Linked DNA regions of Drosophila melanogaster. The gene in region 2 interacts genetically with the main gene of each other region. Each region holds a gene or a part of one and is shown on either strand. Other genes may lie near its edges. The genes, in order: S6k, Rheb and foxo.

Region 1 (7,356 bases), on a different chromosome or scaffold from region 2:
GCAGCTCCTCCCTCCCCCATCCACTGGCACTGGTACTTCCACTCTCAACCAGCTTTCGCATTATTGCCGTCGAGTGTTTGCCGTGAGTCTTGTTTACACACCGAACTAGCTGGCTCATTGAAGAGGCGGCGGCCAGGGGCCGAGTGACAGCTAGTTGGTAGTCAATAGCTGTTGTAAACACTTCTGGGTCCGTCCGTTAGTTCGATAGTCCGTCGACTATTGGTCCCTTATCATCTGGATTTGTCCAGAGTCGACCAGGCTAAGTTGCGTCTGGCCGGGATAAGGCTCTAAGCCAAATCAATCATATCATATGCTATCACTGCCATCGTTTGCAGTGTGTAAACAAGTCTGAGCTGATAATTGGCAATTTGGCTGTTCATTTAACTGCTGCTCAGCTGGCTGGAGAGGAAGTCCGATCGTATCTGGGTCCCTATCTACCCCGCATTCTCAGAAAGTCACGTCACAGTCACGTCCTCCGATGTGGCGGCATAGCACTGGCATTACTCACTCTTGGTGCAGATTAATACACAATTCCGGTTCTAGGTCAACCTGCAAATGCGAAAGAGAGACGGAGAGGCGTGTGAGTGAGATGGCGTCTACTTGCGAGCATAACTGCCAGCGGTATACATGCGAAAAAATCAACAATTAATCATAGTTATTGCGAACTTGGGAGCAAACAGCAGAAGGGAAAGTTACACAGCACCGGGCATCGACGAAGACAAGAGGCCCTAAATCTTACAGATACTTCAAAATCAGCCTATACCAGCAGTAATATATATGTGGGTTGCTTAAAGCTAGTAGCCCACAATTTTAATATGCTTTTTTAGTAATAAAAATAGCTCAAGAATCAGTTCTAAAATGGGAAATCGTATATCGTTATATTTTATTTTTCTTGTTGCATGCTTAATCCCCATTCGGTGCTGCCCCACTTTTCAGTTTCGTTTTAAGCAGCGGGAGATTCCGATGAATGGAGAGATCGCATCGGAGTAGTAGTAGGGGCTCGCTCTGGGATCTCGGATGGCATCCGTCTTTGGAGTATGTGAAGCCAGTGAGTTTCTCCACCACCCTTCGATTTGTCCACTACTCCACACGGAGCTTATTCGGTATTTACACAGAGAGAAAGAGCGTGGCATCCACACAGATGTACATTCGTACACTTTCCGCACACGCACACACACCTTTCGCTTAATGACAAACTAAATTTAGAACTCGGAACAATGCCAAATAATCTGCCGGCGATGCTGGCGCTGTTCCTCGTCCCCTCCGGGTCCATTTGCCGCCCCCTCGGACGCGGCTGCTCCAATCGGAGGAAGGCCACAGTTAGGGGCGGCAGATTCAGAAGAATCAGCAGCAGCCGCAGCCGCCGTCGTCGTTCTCGTCATGCCTAAAATTTGTATAGAACATTTTTGACTAAAGTTCAATTGAATGGCGGCATCGGAATAGGAATCCGCATCTCGACATCTCGTCGCGCAGCACATTAAAAACTGGTTCACCTCGTCAGCGTTGGCGGTGAATTTCAATTAACAAATCCATCATAATTTATAGCGTTCATACAAAGTCAGTGGATGGGCGGAGGGAGGGGGTGTGCGCGCTTGCGTAAATCAAGTAAATCGACAGGTCTTGGAAAAGGTGTGCGATATGGTAGTGATAGGTTCTTATCAACACCGAAAAGGTTTCTCCAGCTATGTAATTCCCCCGGGCAGACAAAACCAATAATACACAAAGAAAAATGATAATTACCCAAGAGCTATTCTCTCCCTTTTTAGTAGATTATTTTCGTACTTTTAAGCCATTACTTTACACAATTTGTCTAAAAATAAATCAATTGACATCATAAGATGACGGCATATGTACACACATTGTTGCTAAATTACATATATTTCAGGCCAATTTAGAACTTTTAATATTCGAATTAAGAGTTTTAGCAACTTGCTTTAGCCAAAATGCATTTATTGCGACTAGTATTGAATACGGGAAGTAATTTAAGCGTTTAAATACAAACTTATCAATTTAAGAACCGCTCATTAGCACAATTAGTAATCAGTAATTCGGTACTTAATGACTACATACTATGGAAACTAATATTCTTTTCCAGTGTACTGTGGTGCAGTTACAACTGGTTCCGTATAGCACCACCACCCCAAACACGACGGTTTGGCTCGACGATCGCTCGATTTCGATCTCAATCGCCTGCCTGCCTGCCTGCCCTTTTTCCTTCCATTTTGTTGTGCTCCCTTATCGGCGCGTGGAGGTTTTTCTCATTTTCTAATTTTATATGGCACGCTGATAAGGAATTTCGTTTTCTAAGTGGAAGCTAAGACACTTGCGAGAGTGCGAGCGAGTCGGCGTTCATTTTGGGCCTCCCTCTCCTTCGCACACCACCTTTGCAGTTGTTGCATTATCAGCTGAGACAGGGGCGGTGGCAAGCAGGGGGCTGCCATGGAGTGTGGCGGGCAATTGGGGCTGATTAGTTTGAAGGACACCACCACTGGCTTCGATTGGCCCATATCAATCGAAGGTGGTTTCGTAAGGAGGTTTTCTCTGATCGAGTCGAACTTATGGTACAATGAGTGAGCGCATGTACATGCGCTGAATAATCGGCGACTGGACTGAAACCGAATGACGCCAGACATTTGCGCAGCAGATAAGCCCAGTTTGCAGGGTGTGCGGCTGGTGGATATGCTGGTTCGGGGGTGTGGAATCGGGATGCCCAGACGAGCGAAAGGAAAACTGGCAGACAAAGCGCAGAAAAGGTAAACAAAGAGGGAAATTGTTGCTGCGCAGTTTGCATCGGGGGATGGTGCGGCACGCATTGGCACGGGATGGCATGGAATGGGGGCTATATCTTACATCGTCCAGCTCGATCCTGTCGTCGTCGGAGTCCCTGGCCTTGTCGTCCTGCAGTTCCAGGTCGTGCAGCTCCAGGTCGAACAGTTCGCTGGGATCGCTCACGTCCGCCATTGCGTGCGTGTGTGTGTTTGGGCGAGTGCGATTCTGTTTGGATATGGATATGGGAAGTGGATCGCCGCTGGTCCGCTCCTGAACTGGGCGCTCCTCTCGCGGGGGGGCGGAAGCGCGTTGGCGATTTATTTTAGTCTCTGGCTATGAGTCTCCTTGTTCAGCTGGTTGGTTCAGATGGAACAGTACAGAACAGAACAGCAGCGGTGCCGATTTCGTGGCTTTCGTCGTGGCCCGAAGGTTATTGTTTATTAGTTAATGGCAATACAAATACACACACACATGGGGGCACACGCACCAACACTGCGACGCACGCACAACGCACCCACACTCACGCACACAGACACTGTGCTCAATGCCTTGCCCACGCGCGCCCTTTGAGTCCGCTGATGTGCAAGAAAACGTTGTTGTTCGCGAACGCCTAATCGCAATGCAGTAATCAGTAATTAAAATGCACTTTTTTCTTTGTTTGCGAGTGAAACACGAGGTGATTTGCTGAGTGTGGCCAGTCGTGCGCTAACTGCCAATTGCTAGAAATTACCGAGGCGCAACGAACGGCAATGCCGCGACAAAGTGTGGCCGTAGCAAGCCAAGCACGCGCTAGGAGGACAAAGTGCTACGTACAATTCTTTTAATTTATTTATTTTATGTAGCCAGTGATAGCAACCAAATAGCCGAGTCATGCGCACCGGCTCGCCCAGCAGCAGCGGCTCCCAGTCGGAGGAGGGCAGCAGTTCCTCAGATCACCAGCAGCCGCAGCAGGAAGCCCAGGAGCAGGAGCAACAGCTGCACACTCCCACGCATGCACATGCCGCGGTGCCAGCTGCCACATCGGAGGAGATCCTGGCGGAGTACGGCAGCAACCTGAAGCTACTCGAGTGCAATTCCCAGGTGGCCGAACTGCTGACCATATTGCGCGACAAGTAGGTGACGTTGGGGAGGAGGAGTCAGCAGCGTAGTAGCAGTACAACAAAATTCTACCCCCCAGGAACACCACGCGCAGTGACTTCAAGTTCTATGCCGACCGTCTCATCCGGCTGGTCATCGAGGAGTCGCTCAACCAACTGCCCTACACCCATTGCGATGTGGAGACGCCCACCGGTGCGATTTACGAGGGACTGAAGTATCGCTCCGGCAACTGCGGCGTGTCCATCATCCGATCGGGAGAGGCCATGGAGCAGGGACTGCGTGACTGCTGTCGCTCCATTCGCATTGGAAAGATCCTGGTCGAGTCCGATGCCAATACGCATGAGGCCCGCGTGGTTTATGCCCGCTTTCCCGATGACATCGGCAGCAGGCAGGTGCTACTCATGTACCCCATCATGTCCACGGGCAACACTGTGCTGCAGGCGGTGAATGTGCTGCGGGAACACGGCGTACCCGAGAGCTGCATCATCCTGTCCAATCTCTTCTGCACACCCATTGCCGCTCGGACCGTAGTGAATGCCTTCCCCAAGCTGAAGATCCTCACCTCCGAGCTGCATCCCGTGGCACCTAATCACTTTGGCCAGAAATACTTCGGTACAGACTAGATACTTGGGTCTATCTCGCAGACTTGACGACTAAGCGCTGCTTAGGATAGGTAGCTGTCGCCCAGACAAACGCCCTTTCCTGCGTTGCGCTCCACTAACAAATGCTACCCTCTCTCACTCTGTTTCGTCCTCCAGATTGCATTTGAGACACACAGACAAATAGACGACCCCTGCGGCCAACCAAACTACTACTTAGCAACTGTTAGCTTTTCACAACTGGCTTTTAATGCAACTCTCAAATACGTTACGTTCGTTACGCACTATTGTAAATATAGAAACGAAATAAATATTTAAACATTAGGATGAGGCGGTACTGCCTTTTAAGTGCTCATCTTGTAGTTGACCACGGTGTCCACCTTGTGCAGTCCTGTAGAAAAGGAGCGCAGCTGGACGGCCTGCGGATTCTGTATGACAATGGCACCCGTTTCGTCCCATTTGGCCGGTAATTCGGTGTTCTGCAGCGTGTGAATCATTATGTCGAAGGTGCAGATGCAATCGAGCAGTGGCAAATAGCTCACGGTGGCCGAGATCTGCCGCATAACGTCGCGAATCTCGTTCTGTATGCGACTCAGCTCCTTGGTGGTTGTTGCCTTGGTGGGATCACTGATATCGCCATCGCCCAACTCGGCCTGCATATTAAAGTCCCAGCACTCGAGCACCTCCTTGGTGTGGGCGTTCGTAATGACCATCGAGATCTTGTTGATCATGTTCTTCGAGAGCCATTCTATAGGTGAATACAAATAATGGTCACCATAAACTTGAATTTTTTCCAAAAGACCACTAACCTTCAGTTTGGCTGAGCACGTTCTGCAGAAAGGTCTTGATCTTGGGATCCTTGGACATTAGAATGGTTAGCCCATACTGCTGCGTGTTGTTAAAGTCTTCGGCTGGGTAAATTCCGCGTTGGAAGAGGATCGAATTGATGCCGTACTCTATTTAGGAAAAAAAAAGAACCAGAGACGCCATTGCAGGCGAACTTACAGACGCTTTCGTGACGTAGCTTGCTACTCACTCAGGTATTCCACAATAATCTGAGCGGAGCCCTTGAGTGTGATGCAGTTTTTGGTCGCCTGGGCAGTTGACATGTTGATTTAAGTCGATTTAAGTGGGAGAGAAATTAACAATTTGCTAAATTGCCGCTATTTTTGAAAGGTGTTGACTAGCAGAGATGACAGAAGCTCGATATACATTCGATACGTTTGTCTGCAATATATCGATAAATATCGGTGAATGTACTCGCTAAATTCAGTATATTTCTATATTTGGTGTGTGTATTGGCTATGCGACCAGGGATGGTGGAACCAGGGATGGCTAACTCCGACCAGTGCTGCCAAGCAATTCCCAAAGGGCGGCATATTTAAATTCATCAATTTATTTGCGCAATAAAATCAAAACACAATTATTGATTGCAACAAATTCAGAATTTTATTGGCCATCCTTGTGTAAACTAAATCTAAGCATGAGATCCATTTCTGAGCGCAAAAGTAATTCCGCGTGGTTCGGCCTAATGGGTTCCATCCGGTTCATCGTATTCCTGCCAAGAGACTAAAATAAGACAAGACTTTGATATAGCCAGAACAATAGAGGACCCAGTTAATCTATGCTATCCAAAACCTAGCTCGGTTCGTCAGAGCCTTGATTACTCTGCCCTCTGATTTGACAGAAAAGATCAGCAAAAGCAGAGCAGCAAATCATAAACGAAGTACAAGAAGCCACAGTGAACAAGAACAGAATATCAGACCAAATCAAAAAGCAATCGATGTTTGTAAAATGTGAATTATTTGCAAATTTTTAATTAAGTTTTTTCTTACGCATCGTTTTGTTTGTTTTTGTTGTTTTTTTTTCGTTTTTGTTTGTTTAATGTTTTGTTTTAAATTAAAATTAAACTTTACATGGTATTTTTGGTATAAATCTTTCAATAATTAAATATATAAAAAATTTGCCACTTAAAATAACTAAAAATAATCTCTACGCACTTTCTTGCTTTACGCCTAGCCATACAAACTGATGTCAACATACACATTGTGAAGAAATAAAAACTAATTTGCCATTTTACATATTTTGGTGTTGAAATTGCGCAAATCCAAAAAAAACGAGGACAAATAAAATAGTATTTCGAAATTAAGTAGCTCCATGGTGTCTGTGTGGGGTGTTCGTGTGTGTGTGTGTGTGTGTGTGTGAGCTTATAGCTATAATTACGTTTAATTTAGGTGTAATTAAATACAATAAATTACGGTTAAAGAAGGGCTTGCATTACCTTAGTTGAAATGTACACAAAACTTATCGTTAGTTAAAACGAGAGCTATTTACAGGATTTATTACAAAGTTCTCGGCTACGTCAACCTTTGTTATCATTTTAAAATTATTGTCTATGATACAACAACAAAAGCGCAACAATGTCAAAGTCAGGGTCGAATCGGTAATGCTTTGCTCTCGAACTTTGAACCGCAAACTTCGATCTTAGATGTTATATGTATGTGATATATTTCGTAAAATAAATAATTTAAAATTCTGCTCAGCTTTCATACATCCGATTTATACATTTAAGATATTCTGTCACCGTGCACAAGAACAAACGTAGCTAAAGTCAGTCTGGATCTGGAACTTTTCGCTCGGGAAGAAGGAACTCTAGGCGAGGGGAATTGTACGAATTTTGAAATGTTTTCTGTTTTCTGTTTTCGGATATGTATTCTTTGTAGTTGCAAACTTTGAGAACGGTGATGGGTTTTTGGGCATGGTCAGCTGGTGCAACAAATTCTCTAATTTTTTAATAAACGTAAAAAATTACAATTGTCCACGTTTTTGGAGTGCAGGGAGTTCGATTTTTTTTTTGTTTTTCGTTTTGTTTATAAAATCATAAAAATAA
Region 2 (3,600 bases):
CAATCGAAAATGTTGACCATTAAAATACAATCTTGAATAGTATTTTGAAAAATTATATTTAAATTGAAACTAAAAGTTTGCAGAATTTGTATATGAAATTTGTAACTGAATTGTTGTTGTAAAAAAAACGTACTAACTTAAACCTGTTGTGTTGCGCCAGACGCGAACCACAAAACCTGCTGGGCAGCGTTTAGCGGACGCATTCAGATCGCTTGATATTGGTTACTTGCTGTGTGGTCTTAAGAATACTAGGTCTATTAGATTTTTAGATTTTCCTGCTGCGCACAAAGGGTACGGCCCCGCCATGCACGCTGACCCAACTGTGTAGATAAGAGATAATCGATTTTCGTATTGCCATAGCGATTTGCCGTATTTCCAACAGTTCGGCCGTAGTTTTAGCTACTCAGCCGCCCTACGATACAAGACAACCGCTCTTCTCCTGGGGATTGCCGTTCTCGTTTTCGATGAGGATCAGTAGCTGATGGAATATATCTCCCACGGACTGCGAAGGAAGTACCTTAGTTGCATTCAGCTAGTGTGATTCGTCTTGGTACTTGCCTCGTTCTGTTTGGCGGACGTTTCGAGAAATGCAGCTCGCCAGGACTCGGCCAGCTTCTTGCCTTCCTCCGTGGAAACGGTTCGTTCCTGGTGGAGATCGATCTTGTTGCCGACCAACACCACAGGTACACTGAAAGGCAAAAAAGATTAGCTTAGCTCTCAAGCGGAACCCACGGGGAAGAAGCCTACTATTTCTTGCCCATTACGTCGAGCAGTTTTTCGTATATGATCTTCACCACCTCAAAAGACTTTTGGCTGGTTATCGAGTACACCAGGACGTAGCCGTGGTAATCCATGCTGTACTGCACCGGGAATATGCTGTACTCGTCCTGGCCCGCCGTGTCGATGAGCTTTACGATGTAGTCTTGCGACTTTACACGCTCGATCTTGGTGAAGGCTGCGAATGGGAATTACCGATCATTACGCATTGCTACTGCTATCGAAGCATGGAGTCAGCCTGGCTTCTAAGAAATCCGCACGGAATGGGATGTGACACTTACTGTTCTCAATGGTGGGGTCATAGGAGTCCACGAACTGGCCCTCCACGAACTGTATGCATAGCGACGATTTGCCTGCGGGCGAAGCGTAATTATTATGGTCAATTGATCATAGTTCTTGCTGTTGTCGAAATACTACGCAATTACCAGTGCCAGCAGCAACAGTGTCAGTGCTTCTGGCGGAACTTTCTGGGAAAACTCACCCACTGATCGGTAGCCCATCATGGCTATGTGGCGCTCCTTGGTTGGCATTTTCCTGGGGCCCAGTGCTTTGAAATAAATGGAGAAATTTATTGGTTTTGTGATTTTCCACACTTTTGTTTTTGCTGTCGCCCCTCGACTTTTTGTGCGCTTGTGTGGGTATGCCCGTGCTCCTTCTTTAAATGTGTGTATGAGGAATATTGCTTCTGCGTTTATTTTGCTTGCTGAGGATACTTTCTATCACAGCTAGAGCTTTTCCGGCGATTTTAATTCCAGTATTATTTATCAGATCGTCTAAAAGAAAACAGTAATTCTGAAGTTGAATCAGTGCTGGTGTCGACGAAGCCGAAATACCACTCCTAGCCTACTAACATAAGGCATTTGCCAGCTAATGAGGAACCGTCACACTACACTATCGTCTACTAGTTTAACGGTCAACAATTGCAGAAAATATCAAGGCCCGTTCGGAAAGGTGCTTGTCGTAATCAAGTGTAAAAAGTCGCAGTTATTTTCTTAAATAGTTAAAACATATTAAATGTCTTCGTTTTATGATATTAAAATAACTGTTTTATTTGTTATATATTGCAAATAGAGCCTGATTCTGTGGACATGTCTAAACAGGCCTTTAAAATAAAAATAGTGCAATCGATTGGGAACGAAATCGATATTTGTTTAGTACTCCGAGTTTTCTGCAGCACTTTCGTAAAAACTTGCTTTGATTTGATTTTTTAAAAGAGAAAACCCCACTTCAAATGGGTACAAAGCGTCGCAACATCGAGGATGAGCTCTCACGCTTCGAGGCGGAGATCTCGAAGCCCCCCGCCCGCAATCTCTTCGTGCCCAACCAGGTGCGCCCGATCATAGCCGCCAATACGTACCAAAACTCGCAGCACAAGCTGCAGCATCACCAGGGCAATGGAGGATCGCGTCTGACCGTACCCCCGCCCCCGATGCCGCCTCCACCCACGTTTATGTCCACCTTCGTGCCTACGGGCAGTGGAGGTGGTTCTTCCAAGGCTATGTCTGCCACTCCCGTAGTCCTGAGCAGCGCCCCCAAACTTTATCAGTGCCGGCAGTCTGTGCACGTGCCCACCGTGGCCGCCGCGCCCTCCATCGACATCAACGCCGTCTCTTTTGACGTAACGCAGAAGCTGAAGAAGCTCAAGGCGGAAAAGTCTGGACCCAATCCCATTGCAGAGGAGGCCATTAAGGCAGCGCGCGCATCATCGGCGCTGCAATCCTTCCAGACAACAGAGCGGAAAAAGAAAGACCGCAAGACGGTGCGTATCGCTGGCGGCACCGTGTGGGAGGATACTTCGCTGGCTGACTGGCCCGACGATGACTTCCGCATCTTTTGTGGTGACTTGGGAAACGACGTCAACGACGAGGTCCTGACCCGGACCTTCAACAAGTTCCCCTCGTTTCAGCGGGCCCGTGTGGTGCGGGACAAGCGCACGGGCAAGAGCAAGGGATTTGGCTTCGTGAGCTTCAGAGAACCGGCCGACTTTATACGGGCCATGAAGGAGATGGACGGCCGCTATGTGGGCAGCCGGCCTATCAAACTGCGCAAGAGCACGTGGCGACAACGCAGTCTTGACGTAGTTAAGAAAAAGGAGCGCGAAAAACAGGTGCTTCTGCAGGCCTTCAATTCCATGACTTGAATCTGAGTGTGCATATCGTGTCCTTTAGGCTAGTTTCGGTCACTTTGATGTAGCAAATTAGATTTGGATGTTGCTGCTAAAGATGAGCAATAAATTTACGTTTAGCAATTGACGCGCTTAGTTTTTATTAACAAACCCTACCCATCCTATTACGAGGTAAACCAGCAGCACATTTTTAAATCAGAAATTGTCTAATATGTTTAAAAACCTTAAACGGGAAAGCAACACTCACAATAATATTACGTAAAGCTTTTAGTACCATTTGGACTCCTCCTTGTCAGCGAGCAGAGGTCTCCGCACCGCATCCCCACCATCGAGATGGTGGGGACCACGACTGCCATTGTCGTCCTTTCCAGACAGTCGCTGGTACTGGCTTCCCTCTCTGCTGGGCCACCTGACCAGTGGTATGCCGGCATCAGGGCAGAAGATGGAGGGATAGTATTGTGTGTAGCTTATATAGCCTGCAAACAGGCCAATCAGCCCGCCGATGGTCACATCCTGCCAGTGGTGGTGGTAGTCGCAGGTGCGACTAACTGCAACCAGCAGTGCGATAAACAGAGGTATCACAGCGATGCAGAGCCGCCAGGTGTGGCCGCGTCCCCGGCTATCAAAGGCGTGCAGCTTGGCGCCAATGTAATAGGCAATGAAACCGAAACTCGCAAAGGCGACTAGAGTAGGCATAT
Region 3 (7,356 bases), 8.5 Mb from region 2:
TCGCTTCAGTTTCCGTCAATCTAAGTCGCACTACAAGCTTCCAACAGGAATGCTCTGTGGAAATCAGTGAAAAGATCTGAAAAGAGGGCTGGGGGCAGGTACGTTGTGCATATGTATGGGTATCTGTATCTGTATCTGTTTTGTGTCGGCTTGCCGATCGAAAGTCGTGCGCTTTCGCGGCTGCATCAATTACGTCGTTAAATTAATCAGTATTCCTTAATCTCAATAAATTAGAGATAACGCTTAAGCGATATTTTTGCATTTTAAATGCCACACGCTACCGTGAGGGGGGGGGGGGCGGTGGTTGGAGGGAAGGGGGAGGTTGGAGAAGTCGAACCGGTACAGTTATTGGAAATGGGTCCAGTACTACGACATCCCGAAAGCCTTCACATCGCCGTCTACAGAGTCTGCTGCTCACATGGGCGACGAAGTGGGGGAGGGTTGAGGTTTAAAGTATTTTTATAAGTATTAGATATTAATATTAACGTACTAATAATTGAATCAATTATTACTCTGAAACTAACTTATTTATTTTTAGTATACTTCCAATAAGCCCCTCCCCTTAGCCCGCTTTCTGAGTACGCCACTGCTCGCAGAATTCCATGTGGCCACATTAGGGGGGCTCGCTTTTGACAAACACATGCGCACATAAGCATATAAGCATAATTCCGCCTGCCAGCGAGAGTTGATGTTGGTTGGGTGTCTTTTAGAGTCTTGATAGCGCCCCATCAACATCAGCGTGCGACTTCGACAGCGACACACCAACGTCACAAAATCTCGTTTTAGCCAAAGTGGCAGTGGCACAGCAAATACCGTTTCGGCCACAGTTGATCAAGCGATTATTGGGGAGGTGTTCGGTATTAGGTCACCATTGCGAAATGCTTTAATAGTGACTGATATGTATATGTATGTATTTGAGTAAATATATTATCTAGTATTCTTTGGCGCATAAACCACTTCTAAATCAATTAGGAATCACAATTTCTACTATCGCTGCCAACGAGTTAGGAAAACAATCGTGTTTCTTACTCCCTCGCACCATCTCACACTTGCAGGGCTGCCTAAAATGGTTGAGTTAACAAATTGTTAGTAACAGTGTTCAAATTTCCATATGAAACAGACACACACTGTCTCAGTCTTTGCTGGTAAACAATCGTCGGGCGAGTCAACTGGAGTCCAAGTTTGAGACCGCTATAATATGCCAATATAGCAATATACCACCACCCCCTTGCCATTAACCCCTTCGATCCATCGACGATATGCCAACACAGGCGAGACATTAAAACAGAAATTATAATTTTTTGAAGGCCAAGCGTGTGTAGAGCCACTCCGGATCGGCTCCACTTGATTTGGATCGCCTGGCTTTACTTTGGATCGAATTAGCCGGAGCATCTGGTGCTAATGCCCTGCTAAAGGGTGGCGTTTATGTTTTTTGCACACTACTCACTAAGTGCTATTAAGATCTAATAAACTGTATTGATAACGATGATAGCTGGTTGTACAACTGGGCGTATACGTAATTTACAGAGTATTTAACTGATTATCATTTATAGCAATGAAATTAAATAATTATTTGATATGTGCTGCGGTTAAACAATGTTCTTTTTTTATGTAGTTAAATAGTTATAGTTAAATAGTTTTTAAAATGGTCTAAATCTAGTTCTATCTAGTTCTAGAGAGTTTGCCAAGCATTTAGGCAGTTCGAGACCTTTGAAACTTGAGCGTCGCTTGTAGAAAGAACCCCTTTCGTTTTCGGCACTCTGGCGCCCAGAAAAGCTCCTTTCGAGATTTGGCGCGCAGTTTGAAACCTGAGTTTAGTGCCTTGCGTGTCCAGTTTGTCAAATTTGGTTGTGATTACGAGACGGAGACCGAGACGGCGACGACAGTTAGCCATTCGCCACGCGCCAACGCAAATGAAACGCTCTATACATATTTTTGTATATTTTCTGTTTTTTTTTGCCGCTGACAATTATGATCAAGTATTAGCTGGCGATAGCTGAAACGTCTGTGTAATTTCAATGGAATGGAATGGGAAGTGGGCGGCCTATTGATACACTGCTCGAGTGATTTTAACTTTTATCTGATCATTCAAACGCATAAATTAGTCTTGAGAACTTCAATTCATTTGATACTCCAGTTAACATGCTATTTACATGCTCATTTAAATGGTAGTAGTGATTTATAAGCCCACTTCCAGATGGAACTTACCTATACCAACGTGTTACTTATCGTTCTTAAGCCAACTTAATAGCATTCTAAAATATATATGTATCTTTTGGCGGACTTATCTTCTTGTTGTTCTCGCATTCCAAAATCTCTATGTACATGCAAACTTTTATTGTCATAACTCGGGACTTTGCAGACTTTGAGGCCTATTTAATAGAGCTATAATCTTACAACAAAAAAAAACTAAAAGAGCTTTTTAAGCAATAAAAATATTCTGAAAAATTACAAATTAACAAAAAATTACCCAATGAAGCCTGCAAATTTGAAATCTTTAAGATCCTAGATATGCCAAGATGCACCCTAAAGTCCTTAACTCATCTCCTTGGCTCGTTTCTAATCCCCCCTCTCGAGGGATCGAGACGATCGCATCGGGTCGGTCTTTAAGTTTGGATGATCCATAAACTGTTGGTTTCTCCGTCCTCAGCGTCTAGACTTCATTAGCCGTGTAATGTTGCGGAATTTATGTGGCAGGCACATTAAAATAACACCGATACACACTCTCATGGACGCGAACGTGTGTACAAGTATAGAGATATCGGGCCTAGGCGAAAAATGAAATTAAAAAAAAAAAAAAAACTGGCACCGGGAGGGGCTTATTTTTCGGTGGTCGGGGATGCGGGGGACTTTGACCATAAAATACATGCTCCCAAAAAGCTCGCACACTGCAAGAGATGCGGGGCACTTCTGAGTCCCATATTCATATGCACAAATGTGCATTGCTGGCATTATCAGTAGAATGCAATTTCGGGAAATTTTCCATCGCATCACGAGACAATGAACGTAAGAGAGAAATGGAGCCTCAAAGAGGGAGGGAGAGAGAGAGCTTGAGTGAACGAGCGAGCGACAATCGCGAGATAACGGCTGCCTTATCAGCAATGCCGACCGCCCCATCACCCCACCCAAAACGCCCAACCACCACCCACCGCCGCCGTTCCCTTTCCTCCATCGTCGAGAATTTCGAGTTCAGAGCAGCGCGACCGAAATGAAAAGAAACAATTTAAATTCCAAATGTATAAAATAGGTAAACTATGGCTTTTATTTATTAATATTGACGGGGGCACAAAGGCGGTCACCTCAATAGTGAATAACATGTTTTTTATAATGAATACTTTTCAAATTGTTATTAATATGCAATGACGTCTTAAATGTTTCACTGCAGCTGAACTTTATTCTTTTCATTAAAACAGTCACCCGTTATTAAAAATAAATAGATTAAGTTTTATATTATTAAATTTGTAAGTATTGAAACAATTCCTTTTTTATTTTATACGAATTATCATTTAGTTGGGGTTAATATCCCTTAAAGAGAGAAATTTGTATGCTTTAAGATTTAAAATATCTATTGCATTTATAGCTATAGCTATAACTTCTCTTATTTCACGCAGAAAATACTCAAATAAAACATATCGATTTGGCATACCCCACTAATTTTTTGGCCCCAAGTGTGTGAGAGTGTGTGAGACGAAGCGCGCCACAAACATAAAAAAGCGGTGAAGTGAGCGGTTGTGGAACGTGAGTGGATGCTAAGAGCAAGCTCTCACATACGCGGACATAGGTCGCACACACACACGCACAGACCGCCTTTTTGCGCCGCCGAAACGAACACTTTTACGAAGGCGACGGCGAATCAGTTTCAGTTGTCAGTTCGCATCCAACTAGAAAGCAGTTAACGAGTAGTCTGTGTTTTTTCGCTTGCGGTTAAAAGCCACGAGGTCGTTCATCGTTCATCGTTTTCCTTTTCAACTTCAAGCAAAGCAAATATAAACCAATGCAAAAAACGCAGTGATCTTTTGAGGCCCAAATCGTTTGGGGCCGAACACCGTTGATTCTAAAACGCAAATGTAGAAACAAATCAAGAAAGTGGAAAATAAATATGTTTCGCTTTCAAAACATGTGAATGTGCCGAACTCAAAACTGAAACGTAGAAGGAACGCGTTCGTTTTTTACATACGACAATCGTATAAAATAAGAGAAAAGCTCCAAAACGTATTAAATAGCGATGCTTGGATGATCTTCGTAGCAGTCACGTTGTACATACAAATACATACATATGTACCTACTATATGGCACATAAAATACGTTACGCACACTAGTGGCGAATAAAAAGCGAATTGGAGTAAGCTCCGAAACGTGTTTATATTAAAATTTTTTACCCATTTGAACTTTAAACAACTTTTCGACTGCGCCGCACGGTTTTCATTGAATTCTCATACGAATTCCAATTAAGTGTTGTGTGTGCGTCCAATTGGCATGAATTGATGACGTGACGTGATCGCTCTCTTCGCTCTCTCCCTCTCTTTCTTCGGCACACACACATACACACACTACGCTCTTTAATCGCGCCGCTCTCTTCGCGCTCTTTTTATTTGTTTATTTTGATTGTTGTTATATATATATTCTAATTTACCGTTTTTACAATCGTCTTTAGCTTAAGCAAAACCGCCGCCCAGCAACAACAAGAAACCCATTTAATGAGTGTGTGTGTGTGTGAGCAGAAAATTATGCCAACAGAATTCTAAAAAATATATATGTATATATTTAAATAACCACTAAAAATCAAGAAATCCGCACAAGTTTCGCTCAAAACAACAACACAATCATATATACTACCCATAAAAAAAAAACAAACCCATAAAAAAGTGCAAAGCAACCAGGAAAATAAAGTAAAACAGTGCCAGTTAACAACAGCAAACGGCGATCAACAAATCCCACCGGCAAAATCAACAATTTTTTAAATCGCAATCAACAAGGAGCAACAAATTAGCCAGCTATTTCCCATTGCAAACATTTGGCGGGTAAATATTATTAACAATTACGAGTAGGTGTACTTGATTGAATGAAAAATGTCATGTTTTTTAAGTTCCTAAATTCGATTCGAATCTAATCGGCAATTGATTGAAATATTCTAAAAGTCAAATTTTGTTTCGTCACGCGATTAAAAAAGTAATTGAAGCAGTGCTTTCCTACACATCAATTAAAATTTAAATTAAATGGTATTTTATGTTGATTACAACAACATTTTTTTTAGTCGCCACAATAAAATATTCATTCTTCCGTGAAATATTTCCAATATAAATTGCTATTGCTATATTTATAAAAATAAGCTTTGATAAAAGTTAAGAGGTTTAATAGAAACTAGAGTTAGGTTCTTTTATTTATATTGGTGTTTAGAATTTTAGATAGGAAAGCTGGACTTTTTGTTGTGTTAAAGTAGTCACATCTATTGAATTTACGACCCAAATTTTAATACAACCGATAGGGAATGTGATTTATAACCTTATTCGAGTAATTCCTAGTTTCACTTTCAAGATCAAAACGACTAGAATCATAAAGTCGGTCACGTTCGGCGCTGCAGTGTCGCTCCAATAGATGATCTTTCAGTTCGTGTGGGTTTTGATTAGTCCGTTTTGGTGTGTTACTTGTCATGGGAGTGGGCAGGGGAGATCTTAATTAGAGCAGCGCTGATAATGGCTCTAAAAATAGAGCCCCAGCGCCACACTGATAGCAGAGCTTGAAGCGTGTGTCGTTTGCGTGGAGCTCATTTCTTTCGTTCTGTGTTTGTTTGCTCCCCCGATTTTCGTATGCGATCCACTAAGGTCGATTTTGTTGCCATATTTTGCCAGCGATCTCGTATACGCACCGTTTTCAGATGCTTTTGAATATTCTCTTGACATCAGTATTGACATTGAAATGTGATTAGGTTTAATTTTCATAAATGGGTTGATTCGCCACTCGGTTAGCTGTCGAAAGAGGCTTTTTTATTCCCCATTTACAGATAAGGCTTTTATCTATTCGCAATGTGCCAAGGTACAACAGCAGCTGATGGCCCAAAAAAAGTGTACATATAAGCCTATACACACATCTGTATAGTCGTCCTATGTGCTTGCGATTGTGACTTTTATCATATCTTGAGTGTTTGCTAGCCACATTGGTGGAACGTGCCAGTTGATAACAAGAAAGTGTGCGAAAGTTTGTCTAAAAAGCTGTAATTGAAGCAGGGAAACCGGGAAGTCAATTAATTTTGAGAGACAACATTAAACGTATTCTTCGTATTCTAGTATTCTTCAAGAATTAGTAAAGCTCTTACTAATAAGCTCGTTTGAGAATGACGATAAGTTATATCGATAATGTCGATTTTACCGATAACCGAAAAACGTTAGTAATGGAAATTTAATGATCATTAAATGAGAGCCACTACATATTGTTTTGTTTAGAAAGATATAGTCGGAATACCAGTAGTTATTTCTTAGTATTATTTTGTGATTTTTAAATATTCTACTCAGATGTGTAGAACTTTTTTTCGAACGCTTCTTTTTGCTTAATTTATTTCGTTTTTCGCGCCGACCCCAAAAACGTTAGTAATGCAAATCGATTGCGTTTGCGAAGTCAGATGATCCCATCCATGATTTCCATGCGTCAGTTGTCCCAGCTGTCAATCGAAGATCGCCGTTTGGGGGCTCTACGTTCCTGGTTGACTTCGCCATCGGTCGAGTGGAATCGAATCGTTCGTTTGCTCTTTAATTATTGTAATGAATTCAATAAACATTGCAGGGCCTCTGCCGTTCATTTGCATTTGCGTTCGCACTCGCTGCATTCTGAACTATTGCACATTGCCTGGTCGGGCCTCTCCTTCTCTATATAGCGATATATATGTATATGTATATGTATATATAAATATATAGAAATCTACATATGTATTCATTTATATATATGTAATTCTCTATTTCTCTTAGTTGCTCTAGAAGCGCGTGATTCTCTCGCAGATCCACGTGCCGCCAGATAACTGCACTTTCAATAAGCTTTTATTTGAATAAGCTTCCGCGATAATTGACTTAATAAATTATTAAATATTAACAGCGTAGAAAAAACCAGAATGCAATGACTGACATGGCATCTCCTTGTGGATTTTCTAATGCCAAGTTAATAGGAAAATCATGCAAAATAGCTGGAAAGTGCATTAGGGCCCGACTGAGCTCACAAAAATGTCTTAATATATCATTTTCAATCACTGCATTACCAGATTCCTAAGTCTTAGTCACTTTCCAATGATTAATATATACACATATAAATTATTGTTATTTATTTCCCAAAACTAACTTTAATATCAAGCAAAAACGCAGTGGTACAGAA

What was found.
Region 1: of Rheb (region 2) and S6k, changing one suppresses a phenotype caused by changing the other (phenotypic suppression), as found in Drosophila melanogaster (3 studies listed by BioGRID).
Region 3: of Rheb (region 2) and foxo, changing one enhances a phenotype caused by changing the other (phenotypic enhancement), as found in Drosophila melanogaster (one study listed by BioGRID).

Annotation. Positions count from the first base shown.
Region 1 is NT_037436.4:5,807,440-5,814,795, forward strand, and holds the start of S6k (ribosomal protein S6 kinase), read right to left. Parts: upstream 3,493-7,356; 5' UTR 2,962-3,492; coding exon 2,851-2,961; intron 550-2,850; coding exon 509-549; intron 1-508. Other genes in the region: kri (krishah), read left to right, coding at 3,640-3,881, 3,947-4,479, 4,626-4,636; mad2, read right to left, coding at 4,811-5,214, 5,276-5,422, 5,503-5,575.
Region 2 is NT_033777.3:5,566,930-5,570,529, reverse strand, and holds Rheb (Ras homolog enriched in brain), read right to left. Parts: upstream 1,610-3,600; 5' UTR 1,491-1,609; exon of another isoform or gene 1,325-1,490; 5' UTR 1,308-1,324; coding exon 1,259-1,307; intron 1,131-1,258; coding exon 1,059-1,130; intron 956-1,058; coding exon 748-955; intron 689-747; coding exon 559-688; intron 503-558; coding exon 413-502; 3' UTR 39-412; downstream 1-38. Other genes in the region: CG2931 (uncharacterized protein), read left to right, coding at 2,009-2,917; CG12746 (uncharacterized protein), read right to left, coding at 3,170-3,585. UniProt on the Drosophila melanogaster protein: Binds GTP and exhibits intrinsic GTPase activity. Activates the protein kinase activity of TORC1, and thereby plays a role in the regulation of apoptosis. Stimulates the phosphorylation of S6K through activation of TORC1 signaling.
Region 3 is NT_033777.3:14,053,087-14,060,442, forward strand, and holds the start of foxo (forkhead box, sub-group O), read left to right. Parts: upstream 1-3,858; 5' UTR 3,859-3,938; exon of another isoform or gene 3,939-4,342; intron 4,343-4,654; 5' UTR 4,655-5,021; intron 5,022-7,356. UniProt on the Drosophila melanogaster protein: Transcription factor involved in the regulation of the insulin signaling pathway. Consistently activates both the downstream target Thor\d4EBP and the feedback control target InR.